3 linked regions of the Sus scrofa genome follow. The protein of the gene in region 1 purifies or fractionates together with the protein of each later gene. This does not show direct contact. Links are inferred from orthologs where the notes say so. Each region holds a gene or a part of one and is shown on either strand. Other genes may lie near its edges.

Region 1 (4,298 bases):
CGCCACACAGAAACCCCTGACCCCAGACTGTGACTTCCGACCCCTAAAAATGGTCATCCGACCCCAGACTGTGACCCCTGACCCCAAACTGTGACTCCACCCCCAGACTGTGCCCCGACCAGACTGTGCCCCTCGACGTCTAACCGTGACACCCTCCCCACCCCACCCTTTTCCAACCAACCTCGGTAGCTTTTCCCTCTTTTGCCCTAGGACACACCCCCAACGGAAGCCCCGCCTCCCCTGCCCCAGCGTTGATCCCAACCTCCATCAGGCCAAAACCTCCCACCCTTTCGCACCTCACTACCAGGCCCAGGTGCCACCAACCATATACTCTCCAAGTCCAACCTTTATTTGTGCCCCTTCAGTAATCACCCAGCAGCCCCCCAAAAGCCTCCTCTTCCCAGATCTCCAGCCGGGTCTGGAAATGGGTTGTGGAAGGGAGGGATCTGGGAGTTCACACTCACTACCAACCTCCCTGGCCACTCTCCTGTCCCACATTGCAGTGTTTGGAATAAACCATGTTTTTATGCCTCCTCAAGCCAAGTGTGAGATCCATGCCTGTCTCAGTCCCCTCAAACTTCTCCGGAGGAAACAGAAACTGAGAAAAGTCCCTCAGAGGAAGAGGGTGCAGAAAGAGAATTTGAGCAAGAACAGAGACCCCAGAGGGAGGCGGGAGGTGAAGACCCAGAAAGAAGCCATGAGAAGAGACGAGCTAAGAAGGGGTGGAGGCGTTAAGAGAAGGGGGACAGAGAACTCAAGAAAGATCTGGGATTCAAAACATCCTAGAGGGTACCATTCCTATGGCAACAGGCAATGAGGTTTGCTAGGTTCTTAATATCCTGTTCAGGCAAGTGAGGAGAGTGCCTATTATATCCCAGCCAATCCACAAATCTTCAATGTTGTGAAGCTCACCAATGAGAACCTAGTTCTAACATTTCATTATGCCAATTAGCCAAACCTCTGGTGCTAATGGGCAATAAAAAGAGCCGAAACACTTGTAATAGCTGCCTCCAGAGGGTGGGCTTTCTGATTAAGTGCTTGCTGACCACAGCTGCAACGTGAACGCCTGATGAGGCAACTCATCCTCACTCTACTTAAGCATTTGGAAATGAATTAAAGCCTTCATAACAAGAAGCGGGGGAAGAATAAGGAGGGGAGAAGAAACCGGCTTTATTGGTCCTAAGGGAGCAGAAACCTAGTCTCCTAGCTAGGATTATTTGCATACACGAATAATTAATTAAGTGGAAAGAATGCCTTGGGAGTCAAAAGTGGAAGATGGTGTCTGGGCTTGGACCTCCTCTAGCTGATGAGGAAAAAACAGGCCTCCCGTAGAACTACAACTCCCAGGAGGCCTTGCCGCGGCTCTGCGGAGGAACTCCGCAAAGTCACCGGGAGGGGGTAATTCTCCAGATCCGCAGGCCTCGCTAGCTGGACCAGGACACGATTATGTCAGTTCTCCTTCACCCGGTCCCATCGCCCTCTCTAATCAGCGAACCCGGGGGTTTCCAAGGTAACCACGCAGCAGGGCGGATCTCATAAGAAGGCAACGCAACCCGGAAGTGACGCTCTTACCTCGCGCCGGCTGCGAACGGGTTGGAAGATGGCAGCGCGCAAGGGGCGGCGGCGCACGTGTGAAACTGGGGAGCCCATGGAGGCTGAGTCCCACGATGCAGGGTCCGAGGGCCCTCCCCAGGTCTACCTACCGGGCCGGGGACCGCCACTGCGTGAGGGAGAGGAGCTGGTCATGGACGAGGAGGCCTACGTGCTGTACCACCGAGCACAGACTGGTAGGGCTGGGGCATTCGGACTTCCCGGGGCCAGAGCAAGGAGGGACTGGAAATCTGGGTCCTGAGGGGAGCTGGTCCTGAGCCTTTAATTTAAGAGGCGCTCTGAAAGGGGAAACTGGGGTTCCCGAGGGGAGCCGGTCCTGAGCCTTTAACTTAAGAGGCGCTCTGAAAGAGGAAACTGGGGTCTAAGAGAATTGACACCACACTCAAGAGATACCTCTGGCTATTAGGGCCTGAGATACTTATGTCCCATCCTAATTTTCCAACCGCTCCTTCCATCCCCAGGCGCCCCCTGCCTCAGCTTCGACATAGTCCGGGATCACCTGGGAGACAACCGGACTGAGCTTCCTCTTACACTTTACCTGTGTGCTGGAACCCAGGCAGAGAGCGCCCAAAGCAACAGGTGAGAACTGGGCCTTTACTTCGACCAGGAGTCTGAGCCTTCAGCCCCCCGCCCCCGCGGCTCCCCCCCCCGCGGCCCCCCCCGCGGCCCCCGCACCTAGAAATAGGGGGGTTTCCAGCCTCCCCACTCCCTTCTTCCCAAGGATCCTGGTATCCAGGGCCTCATTTCATCCCACACTTCCGCCAGATTGATGATGCTTCGAATGCACAATTTGCATGGGACAAAGCCCCCGCCATCAGAGGGCAGTGATGAAGAGGAGGAGGAGGATGAAGAGGATGAAGAAGAGCGAAAGCCTCAGCTAGAGTTGGCTATGGTGCCGCACTATGGTGGCATCAACAGAGTTCGGGTAAATACAGCCCCCGAAGCCTGCCCTCCATTCTCTGGAGCACAGAGCGTCCCCGCCCCCCATCCACGCCCTTCAGCTTTTAGAAAACACTTGACACAATTTCGTATATGAGTTTATCACATCTTAACTGTCATGGTAGTTGTCATCGTGCTAGATGCTGTGGGGATATCTTTAGTGTTCTTTCCTTTTCTGTAAAATGGTGAGAGTTAGAAAACTTACCTGGTGTGACTGATATGAGGGTAAAATGGGATCACTTTGTGTTACTTCAAGCATTGAAACTCCCAAGTTCCTGCTGTGACTCATCGGTAACCCAACTAGCATCCCTGAGGCTGTGGGTTCGACCCCCGGCCTCACTCAGTGGGTTAAGGATCCGGGTTGCCATGAGTTGTGATGTAGGTCGCAGACACGGCTTGGATCCCCAGTTGCAGTGGGTGTGGTGTAGGCCGGCAGCTGCAGCTCTGATTCCACCCATAGCCTGGGAACTTCCATATGCAGCAAGCCTGGTCCTAAAAAAAAAGCAAAAAACAAACAAAAGAACTGAAATAGAGTTACTTTAGGTATCTAAAAACAGTGCTATCATATGAGATGTTTGTTTTCTGTTATTGCTTAGGGACTGTTCTGGCCTATGCGGTTACTTTTGTGCTTCAGAATTAACAGCCCCTTCTGACGGGGTTGACATGAGCAGTAAAGTGTTGCATGCGCAGTGCTTGGCCCATAGTCCTTGCTAAACATTTCCATTAAAGTATTACTGAGCTTCAGGTGCTGTTCTAGAGCCTGGGGTTTTAACAGGGAGCAAAAGGTCGCTGGCTCCTTGACACATGCCAGTGGGAAGAGAACAAGAAGAAACTAAGTGTATTCACGTGTGTCCCCAGGTGCTGAGTGTTGTGGAGGAAAATAAGGGAGTTAGGATCTTCCGCTGTGGGGCTGCTATTTTAAATAGTCAAGGGAGCTTCCTGGTTAGGACCTGGTGCTTTCACTGCTGCAGCCCAGGTTCAATTCCTAGTCTGGGAACTGAGGTCCCACATCAAGCTGCTGCTCAAACCCTGCCCCCCACCCCAAACTAAAAGTTTGGTCAAGGAAGCAGTCACCGATAAGGTGTCATTTGACTGATAAGAGACCATGTGAACAGAGACCCACAGGGAATAAAGGAGTGAGGCAAGGATGTCTGTGGGAAGGGTTGCCAGCCAGGGAATAATAAGTGCAAAGGCCTGGGGGTGACCATGGCATGTTTGAGAAATTTTGAGGAAAGCTGGGGAGGGCAGTGCTAAATGGATGAGGGGGGCGAGTGATGAGGTTTGGCAGGTGGGTGTGGCAGAGACATTGTTTTGGGCCTCATAGGCCATTGTAAGGACTTGGTTTTCACTTGGAGGGAAATTGGGAGCCATCAGAGGTTTAGAGCAGAGGATGGATGGGGTCTGACTTGTGTTTGAAAGGGATCCCTCTGACTGTTGTATTTAGGATAGACTGTAGGGGGGGCAAGGGCAGGAGGCCAGGGTCCGGTGAGGCGGCCAGCACTGTGAAGAATGCAGGGGAGGGTGACTTCCATAGTGGCATGGGTGGCGGCCGAAGGGCTTGGAAATGGTGCGTGCGGAGTGCAGCCGGCATGGGTGCTGGGCCTGAGGAAGGAGAACAAGTCCTACAGTTTGAGGCCCGAGGTGGGGACCTCTGGAGAGAAGTAGGTTGCAGGGGGCGATTCGGAGCCCGGCTGTGGTCTGTGACATCTGAATGGTCAGTTCAACATGAGCTGGAGTTGAGGAGAGCG
Region 2 (3,530 bases), on another chromosome or scaffold:
CCCCCTCCGTCCTGCGCCCCCACATCCACAGGCCACCAGCCTGCAGGGGCCCTCGAGCCCGCGTGGACAAGGAGTGGCGCATCCCTCGGACCTGTCTTTTGAGAGGCGTCCTCTCAACCTCCTGCCGACCGCGAGGCTTTCCACAAAAGAGCGAGCAAAGCTCTGTGTGAGAACCCGGCGGCCACTCGCCCAGGCTGCCACCTTTATCACCGCTGGGGCGCTGCCTGCGTGTGACCACCAGAGGGACAAACAGAAGCGCCCAGGGTGACCCCCACGCTGGCAGCACGGGGACAACGGCCCCGATGCCAAAGGCACGTGGGCAGACACGCTGCAGACACGCTGCTTTCGAGCGCGGGCAGGACCAACACCGGGTGGGGGTCCCCAGAGAGGTCACTGGACCCACGAGGGGGCCCCTCTGAGGCCGGGTGGGCGAGGCTGGCGCCCACACACCGTGGTGGCGACTGGTCCAGCACTTGCACTGGGTGATAAAATGCACAGAACAGTTACTGGAAAAAAACACAACTCGTGATAAATTGAACTTCACCTTTTGTAATAAAAAATTAGAAATTTCTGTGGCCTCCGAACACAATACAGACTCTAACTCTTCCCCAGCCAACAAGACAGGCATTGGCAAGAATCGCCACCGGCAGCTCCGAGAACCTCTGCGGAGGACACGGCCCTCGGCCAAGCCGTCCTCGGAGGCGGCGCAGGCCCAGGCGCCTCCAGTCCCCAGGCCTGGACCAGGGAGCCCCTCGAGCACCGAGCTCTCGCCAGCCCGGCTGGGCGTCCCGACAGCCCCGCGCCCGCGGGCCTAGCAGTCGCTCTTCCAGAGCTTGATGGTCTTGTCGTTCTCCAGCGCGGCCGAGGCGATGATGTTCTCTGTGGGGTGGCAGGCCGTCGAGATGACCACGTCTGAAAGCAGAGGCACCACGGTCCCTCCGCGGCCCCGCCCCGTGGCCCCGCCCCGCAGCCCTGCCCCGCCCCAGGGCGTCCGAGCCCAGAGCTCAGGTCACCAGGCCTGGACAGTGGGCCGCGAGGTGCTCAGCACCGGCCTGGGCCCGGAGGCTGCCCAGCGCCGAGCCCAGAGACTGGGGCCCCTCACAAGCCAGAGGCACAGCCGGGGTCCGTCTCACGGCATCGACATCGCGCCCTCTGCACCGGGACCCAAACCGGCGCACCCACGCGCTCCCCGCCGCGGAGCAGAGGACGCCCGCAGGGCTGCGCTGCAAGTTCACCCCCGGGGCTGGCGCCTGGGGTCCGTCAGGTTAACACTTTGCAGCTCTGAAATTAACTCAGCCCCTTGGGAGCTCCCATCATGGCTCAGCGGAAAGAAATTTGACTGGTATCCATGAGGGCGCAGGTTTGATCCCTGGCATTGCTGTGGCTGTGGAGGAGGCCAGCAGCTGCAGCTCTGATTCAGCCCCTACCCTGGGAACGCCATATGCCGCAGGTGCGGCCCTAAAAAGACAACTGAACCCCAGAATCTTCCCTCTTGCCTGAGTGGTTTCAAATAAGCCTGAGCATCCTGCCCACAGCAGGGCAGAAGCAACAGGCCAGGTGCGGAAGCTGAAGGCCAGCACGGACCTCCAAGCTCAGGCCAGGACCTCAGGCAGTGGCGTGGCTTCCTTAGGCAGAGTCGCACACTCTCATCAGACTCTCCACGGCTGGACACCACTCTGCACTGAGCAGGAGTGGGGAGGGCGGGGGGGGGGGCTTAGGGGCTGCCCAGGTACTCCACACAGGGGACAGGAGCGGGCAGGAGGTCAGAGCCTGGAAAGGAGCCAGCCGGCAGAGCAGACGGCAGGCAGCCCGGGTCCCTGTACCATCTCCACGGGGACAGACCACAGGGCCCACAAGGACGTCAAGGGCCGGAGGAGAGGTTAAAGCCACACTCGGGCTCGGCCTGCGGGCGCTCAGACCCACAGCTCCAAACAGAGCCCCCGGCTCCCAGGGGGCCGAGGAGCAGAGGCAGGAGGATGCTCACAGGACCTGGTCCCTCCGTGGGGGAGAGCTCACCCGTGTGGCCCTGCAGCTTCTGCACAATCTCTTTCGTCTGCAGGTTCCAGATGTAAACCAAGTTGTCCTCCGAGCCCGACACGATCCACTGTCACGGGGCGGGAGGGTGTCAGGCGCGTGCCTGGGGACCAGCAGTACCAGCACCCCTCCCCGTGTGGGTCTCCGCCCATCTCCTGTCCCGATGCCGCACCAGCACCCGCCACTTCTAGGACATAAACTGTTTGCTCCAATCAGGGCTGCCGTCACCATCTCCCCCGCAGCCTGAGCCTGAGAGGCGGGGAGCCCCGGGGACCAGACGCCAGAGCCTGCCAGGGTCCCTGACTCCCAGAAGGTGCTGACACCCTCGGCATCGCAAAGGAGCCTGTGGCCCTGAAGAGGACGCAATGGGAAGGCCCGCTGAGGATGCCACCAGCGGGGCTGCACTGGGTTAAAAAGCGCCCCAGAGGGGCCGGGGAGAACCCCCAGCAGGGACATGACTCACCTTCCCGCCAGTGACAGAGAAATTCGCGAATATGCAGTACTTCTCATTCTTGTGGCCGGTGTACGTCTTCAGACACTGAAACAGCAGGGCCCGTCCGCTCAGTGGCGCCCCCCTGCACCCCGGGGTAACCCATCCAGGTACCTTTCAGCCAACGGAGCCGCTCTGAGCACAACCCACCCCGGCCCAGCCGTGGCCCCGGCCCCAGCCCCAGCACGACCCTCCGCCAGCCCGTCCCGGCGCTCACCTTCCCTTTGCTGTAGTCCCAGAGCTTCAGCGTGCTGCGGGGAGAGGGCGTGTCAGCCGAGCCCCCGAGGACCCACCCTCTCCGGTGCCCGCGCCCAGCCCAGGGTCCACAGAGCAAGGACACCTGGGAGCAGAGCGCGGGAACCCCAAGACACTGTTTTTCACTTGGCCTCGGCCGAGGCGTGTGCAAATTCCTGGGCCAGGGATCGAACCTGAGCTACTGCAGTGCCAAGTCCTTAACCTGTCGAGCCACACGTTAACTCCCCAAGAGGCTTGGTTAAAGGAAGCTACTAAGCGTTCCCCGAGCCGGGAAGGGGTCCACGTCCCTGCGAGAAAAGGGCTCAGGAAGCCCCATTGCGGACACGTCCAGAACAGACCTCGGCGGACAGTCCTTCCTCCTCCTGTGGGGGCCGACCCTGTGAGCCCACCCGAGGGCTCCCACAGTGCCCGGGGAGGCCGAGCGCCAGCCGCCTCCAGGAGGGCAGTGGACGGCCGGGACACCCACCCGAAGCGTGTTAGGAGCAGGGCGCCCGGGCAGAGCGGGCAGCACCGGGAGGCCGCCATGCCCACCATCCCAGCAGGGTGCCTACATCAGCAGCCTGCACCCAGCAGGCTCCGTGCGGGCACTGGAGCGGGTGTCTTTCTGGGATCCTGGCCCTGGGGCGATGGCCCTGGTAACCCGCCCGCACGGGGACAGAGGGCTTACTTGTCCAAGGTCGCGGCCAGGATGTACTTGCCGTTCGGAGAGAACTTCACGAAGGACACGGGCGGGTTGTCGTCATCTGCATGG
Region 3 (3,641 bases), on another chromosome or scaffold:
CCAACGCTCGGCGCTGCCGCAAGAACACCACCTCACAGAGAAGCCGTCAGGGTCACTCCGCACTTAAAACGCCTAAAAGAGCAGGAGGAAGAACTGCAGGCAAGATGCACGCGCCCTATGCAAGCCCTTGAGCCTGCGAAGGGCGGTCCCGGAATCCCCCCTCCTTCCAGTCCCAAAGCAGCCGTGCTGTCCAGGCCCAGAAAGCCCTGGCAACAGCACCGAGTGTCTCTGCCCTGAAGATACATTCTCGCGTCGCACGGCGGCGCCGCCGGGCCTCAGGCCACGTAGTGGTACTGGTTCGGACTGTCCTTGTCCCGCTCCATGTAGTCTCTGTCGATGAGGGACTCGATCCTCTTCTTCAAATCTCCGGGCTGGAAAAGAAAAACACACCCCTGATGAGAGCGGCCACGCCAAGGGGGCGAGCGTGGGCGTGGGACGGCGGCACCCCCAAACACGCATCTCCCGGGATGCGAGCGCGCCAATGTCCTGTGGTGGGCAAAGGGCTTCCTTCCGCGGGCGGGTGACGCGGCTCAGAGGTGAACGCCCTGAGGTCACCCGCAGAGCCTGGCCCTCACTCGTGTCTGGAGGGGACTCAGGCCCTTGGGCGTGTCCACCTCTGTGGACAGTTCTCCCCAGTTGCTGTATTTGTCACCTGTCTTTGCTGCACACGCTCTGGGCACAGAGACACCAGACCCGTGTGCTCCTTCTCCAGACAGGCAAGGGAGTCCACGCGCCCAGCACGGGTGTGGGGGGCCTGGCTGCTGCCTCTCAGGGCGCAGGCTCCCCTCAGCGCCCCCCTCGTCCACGCTGAGCAGGGCTGCAGCCCCAAGCCGGTCCTCGCGGCTTCCCCTCCCCAGCCCTCCGCCCAGGAGCACAGAGCACCGCCCAGCGTCCTCCCCGAGCCACGTGGATGGGACAACTCCGGGTCGTAGAACTTCCCGCCCAGAAGCGCGGGTGGTGGGCTCGGTGGCCGGCTGATGGGCCAGTTCCCAGGGGGATGCTTGGCCCCCAGCTTGCCTGGCACCCCCCCGCCGGGCAGGACAGTGACCCCGGCGGGGACCTGCCCTGGCCAGCAGGCTCTGGGGCACCAGCAGCACGTCACAGCCAGGGGCGTCTGGGTGAGGCCCCGCTGGCCGCAGCAGACGCACACAGAAGCTTCCTGGGGCGAGTGGCGGGTGCTCTGCAGGTGTCTGGCAGACGCGCGAGCTGGCCACGCGCCGGCCTTACCTTGACCGGGAACTTCAGCTGGTTGTACAGCTCGGAGACCAGCAGGTTGTGGCCCAGCGTCTTGCGCATCTTCATGATCCTGACGATGGCGGCGTCGATCTGGTACTGCCGGTCCTGGAACACGCGCTCCGTGGTGCTCACCTGCTCCTCCACCTGCTCGGGACAAGGGTGCGCAGGCGTGCTCACCTGTGCTGGGGCGGCTGCGCCTCCGGGTAGGAGAGAGGCCCAACTGCGCACCAATCCCGCCCCGCTGTGCACTTGGTTTGTTCTAGTAAAACTGCTTAACTTCGGAGCCAAACCTTGACAAGCTTTTGCGCCTAAAAAGTTATAAACTGTATACGATCCTGGCTGAGGTCCCGTGGTGCCACAGAGAAAGGACAAAGCCCAGCAGCCATGGGACGGACCCCAGGCGCGTCGGCCTGGCTCAGTGTCAGGACACCCCGAGCCCTCGTGAAGCTCCCGGACAGGATCCCGGGGTCGCGCCACGACTGCTCATCCGGACAGACGGTCCGAAGGGAGGCGGAACAGAAGTCCGCACTCGCCTTGAAGCTCAGTGGGGAAGGTTTCAAAAGAAAGGCCTGGGACAGGCTGAAGAGCGGGTCCCAGAAGCACGTGCTGAGCCGCCTCCCGTCAGCAGCCCGACTGCTCACAGCCCCGGCCAGCGTCACACCAGCTCTAAAGGGGAGCAGTCGAGGACTAGAGAGATCTCCTCATCTGTACGAGCAGCTCAACGGCGCACAGATGCCCCCAGGACCCAAGGAAAGCCACACGAAAGTGGCCAGAAGTACTCTGGGCCTGTGACAGTGGGGTGGGCCGAGGTGGGCGGGGGCGGGACCCCGTGAGGCTTCCACTCAGTTGCGCTTCCACTCAGGAGACAAGCCGACCAGGGGCACAGGAGTGTCTGCGCAAAACAGTCGTCTTCCCGGAAACGGAAACACGCAGCTGCCTTTCAGCAAGGGTCCCGTCGAACTCTGCGGGTGAGCCCCGAGGATGCTCTGATCCGATCTGCCCGGTGGATTCTGCCACACCCTTAAAACCAAGCCCTGCCACGGAAGGAGGCCCAGGGCATCGCCTGACAAGGAGCGACACAGGGTGCAGGGAACGGTGCAGAGAGTGCACAGGAAGAGGGGTTTCGCACACACATCAGAGAAAAAGGCTGAGTGTGAACAGGTGGCAGGACAGACCAGCCCACCTCGGAACGCTAAGTCCAGAAGCTCACGCCCTTTGATCACTCTGGTAGCTATCGTAGGAAAGATGAAACAGGGGTTCCTGGCGTGGCTCAGTGGTTAACGAATCCGACTAGGAACCATGAGATTGTGGGTTCAATCCCTGGCCTTGCTCAGTGGTTAAGCATCCGGCGTTGCCGTGAGCTGTGGTGTAGGTCGCAGATGTGGCTTGGATCCTGCGTTGCTGAGACTGTGGCGTAGGCCAGCAGCTATAGCTCCAATTAGACCCCTAGCCTGGGAACCTGGGAACCTCCATATGCCGCAGGTGCGGCCCTGGAAAAAGACAAAAAGATTAAAAAAAAAAAGGAAAGACGGAACAAACGCCACAGGCATTAAACCTTCACAGACGTGTCAAATGACCCACTAGCAGCGCTGTACGCGTCCAACAGCTCTTAAAAAATAAACACATAAAGCTGCTTCCTCATGTCGCTGCCCACTTGGGATATTATCAAACTTTACGTTTCCCAAATTGATGGACCAGAAAGAGAACCTTCTCTTAACCTGACACGGGAAATGACTGCCTAGCGCAGGCATCCAGGTGCATTTGCTGCACTTACTGGCCTCCTGTGTTTCCTCCTGCGTAACCTGAGTGGACCGGCCCCCACCTCGGACCATCAGAGTCGCCGCCCTGCTGGGACCGACCCCCTGCTCCAAAGGCCATACCTCCTGTGCTGCAGGTCCCAGGGGCAGCTGACACCTGCTCTGAGGGGCTCCAGGGTGCGCCGGGCTCCGCCTCGGGAAGGGCCCCGGCAGCCGTCCAGAACCTGCTCCGAGCCGAACCCTGGAGTGTCTGATCGAAGCTCAGACGCTCCATCCATGCGGGTCACAGACTCGACACCCGTGGGCCGAGTGGCAGGACCCTCCCACGTCCACCCCAGGAGCCCGGCCGAGGCCAAGGGCTGGCTGCTCACAGAACCCCGGCGACGAGGCTCTGACGGATCGCACCGTTCGGTGACGTGCCCCTCCTTCGGATTCCCACTCCCACTGTGAGCCTGTCGGGAACCGACGTTCCTCTCCCAGGCACCGCGGCGCCGTCCGACCCAGGGAGAAGTGACTGCAGGCTACCGGTCTCGGGGCCCACGCGCCGCCTGGGTAAGAGGAGCAGGGTACGTACGGTCTCCTTCATCTGAATCTGATTGATCTTTATCCGGAACAACTTGTGCTTGAAGTCCCCGTTGAAAAAGAACT

The links.
Region 2: the proteins of GRWD1 (region 1) and WDR5 purify together in Homo sapiens (affinity purification with western blotting; 3 studies listed by BioGRID and IntAct, with this or other methods). This does not show direct contact. The link is inferred for Sus scrofa from reciprocal best matches to the Homo sapiens genes GRWD1 and WDR5.
Region 3: the proteins of GRWD1 (region 1) and CUL4A purify together in Homo sapiens (affinity purification with western blotting; 4 studies listed by BioGRID, with this or other methods). This does not show direct contact. The link is inferred for Sus scrofa from reciprocal best matches to the Homo sapiens genes GRWD1 and CUL4A.

The regions. Positions count from the first base shown.
Region 1 is NC_010448.4:53,848,260-53,852,557, forward strand, and holds the start of GRWD1 (glutamate-rich WD repeat-containing protein 1), read left to right. Parts: upstream 1-1,413; 5' UTR 1,414-1,600; coding exon 1,601-1,787; intron 1,788-2,072; coding exon 2,073-2,190; intron 2,191-2,376; coding exon 2,377-2,536; intron 2,537-4,298. UniProt on the Homo sapiens protein: Histone binding-protein that regulates chromatin dynamics and minichromosome maintenance (MCM) loading at replication origins, possibly by promoting chromatin openness.
Region 2 is NC_010443.5:273,573,549-273,577,078, reverse strand, and holds the end of WDR5 (WD repeat-containing protein 5), read right to left. Parts: exon of another isoform or gene 3,523-3,530; coding exon 3,447-3,522; exon of another isoform or gene 2,776-3,446; coding exon 2,742-2,775; intron 2,573-2,741; coding exon 2,498-2,572; exon of another isoform or gene 2,105-2,497; coding exon 2,017-2,104; intron 913-2,016; coding exon 812-912; 3' UTR 524-811; downstream 1-523.
Region 3 is NC_010453.5:78,584,476-78,588,116, reverse strand, and holds part of CUL4A (cullin-4A), read right to left. Parts: coding exon 3,568-3,641; intron 1,381-3,567; coding exon 1,228-1,380; intron 372-1,227; coding exon 276-371; 3' UTR 1-275. UniProt on the Homo sapiens protein: Core component of multiple cullin-RING-based E3 ubiquitin-protein ligase complexes which mediate the ubiquitination of target proteins. As a scaffold protein may contribute to catalysis through positioning of the substrate and the ubiquitin-conjugating enzyme.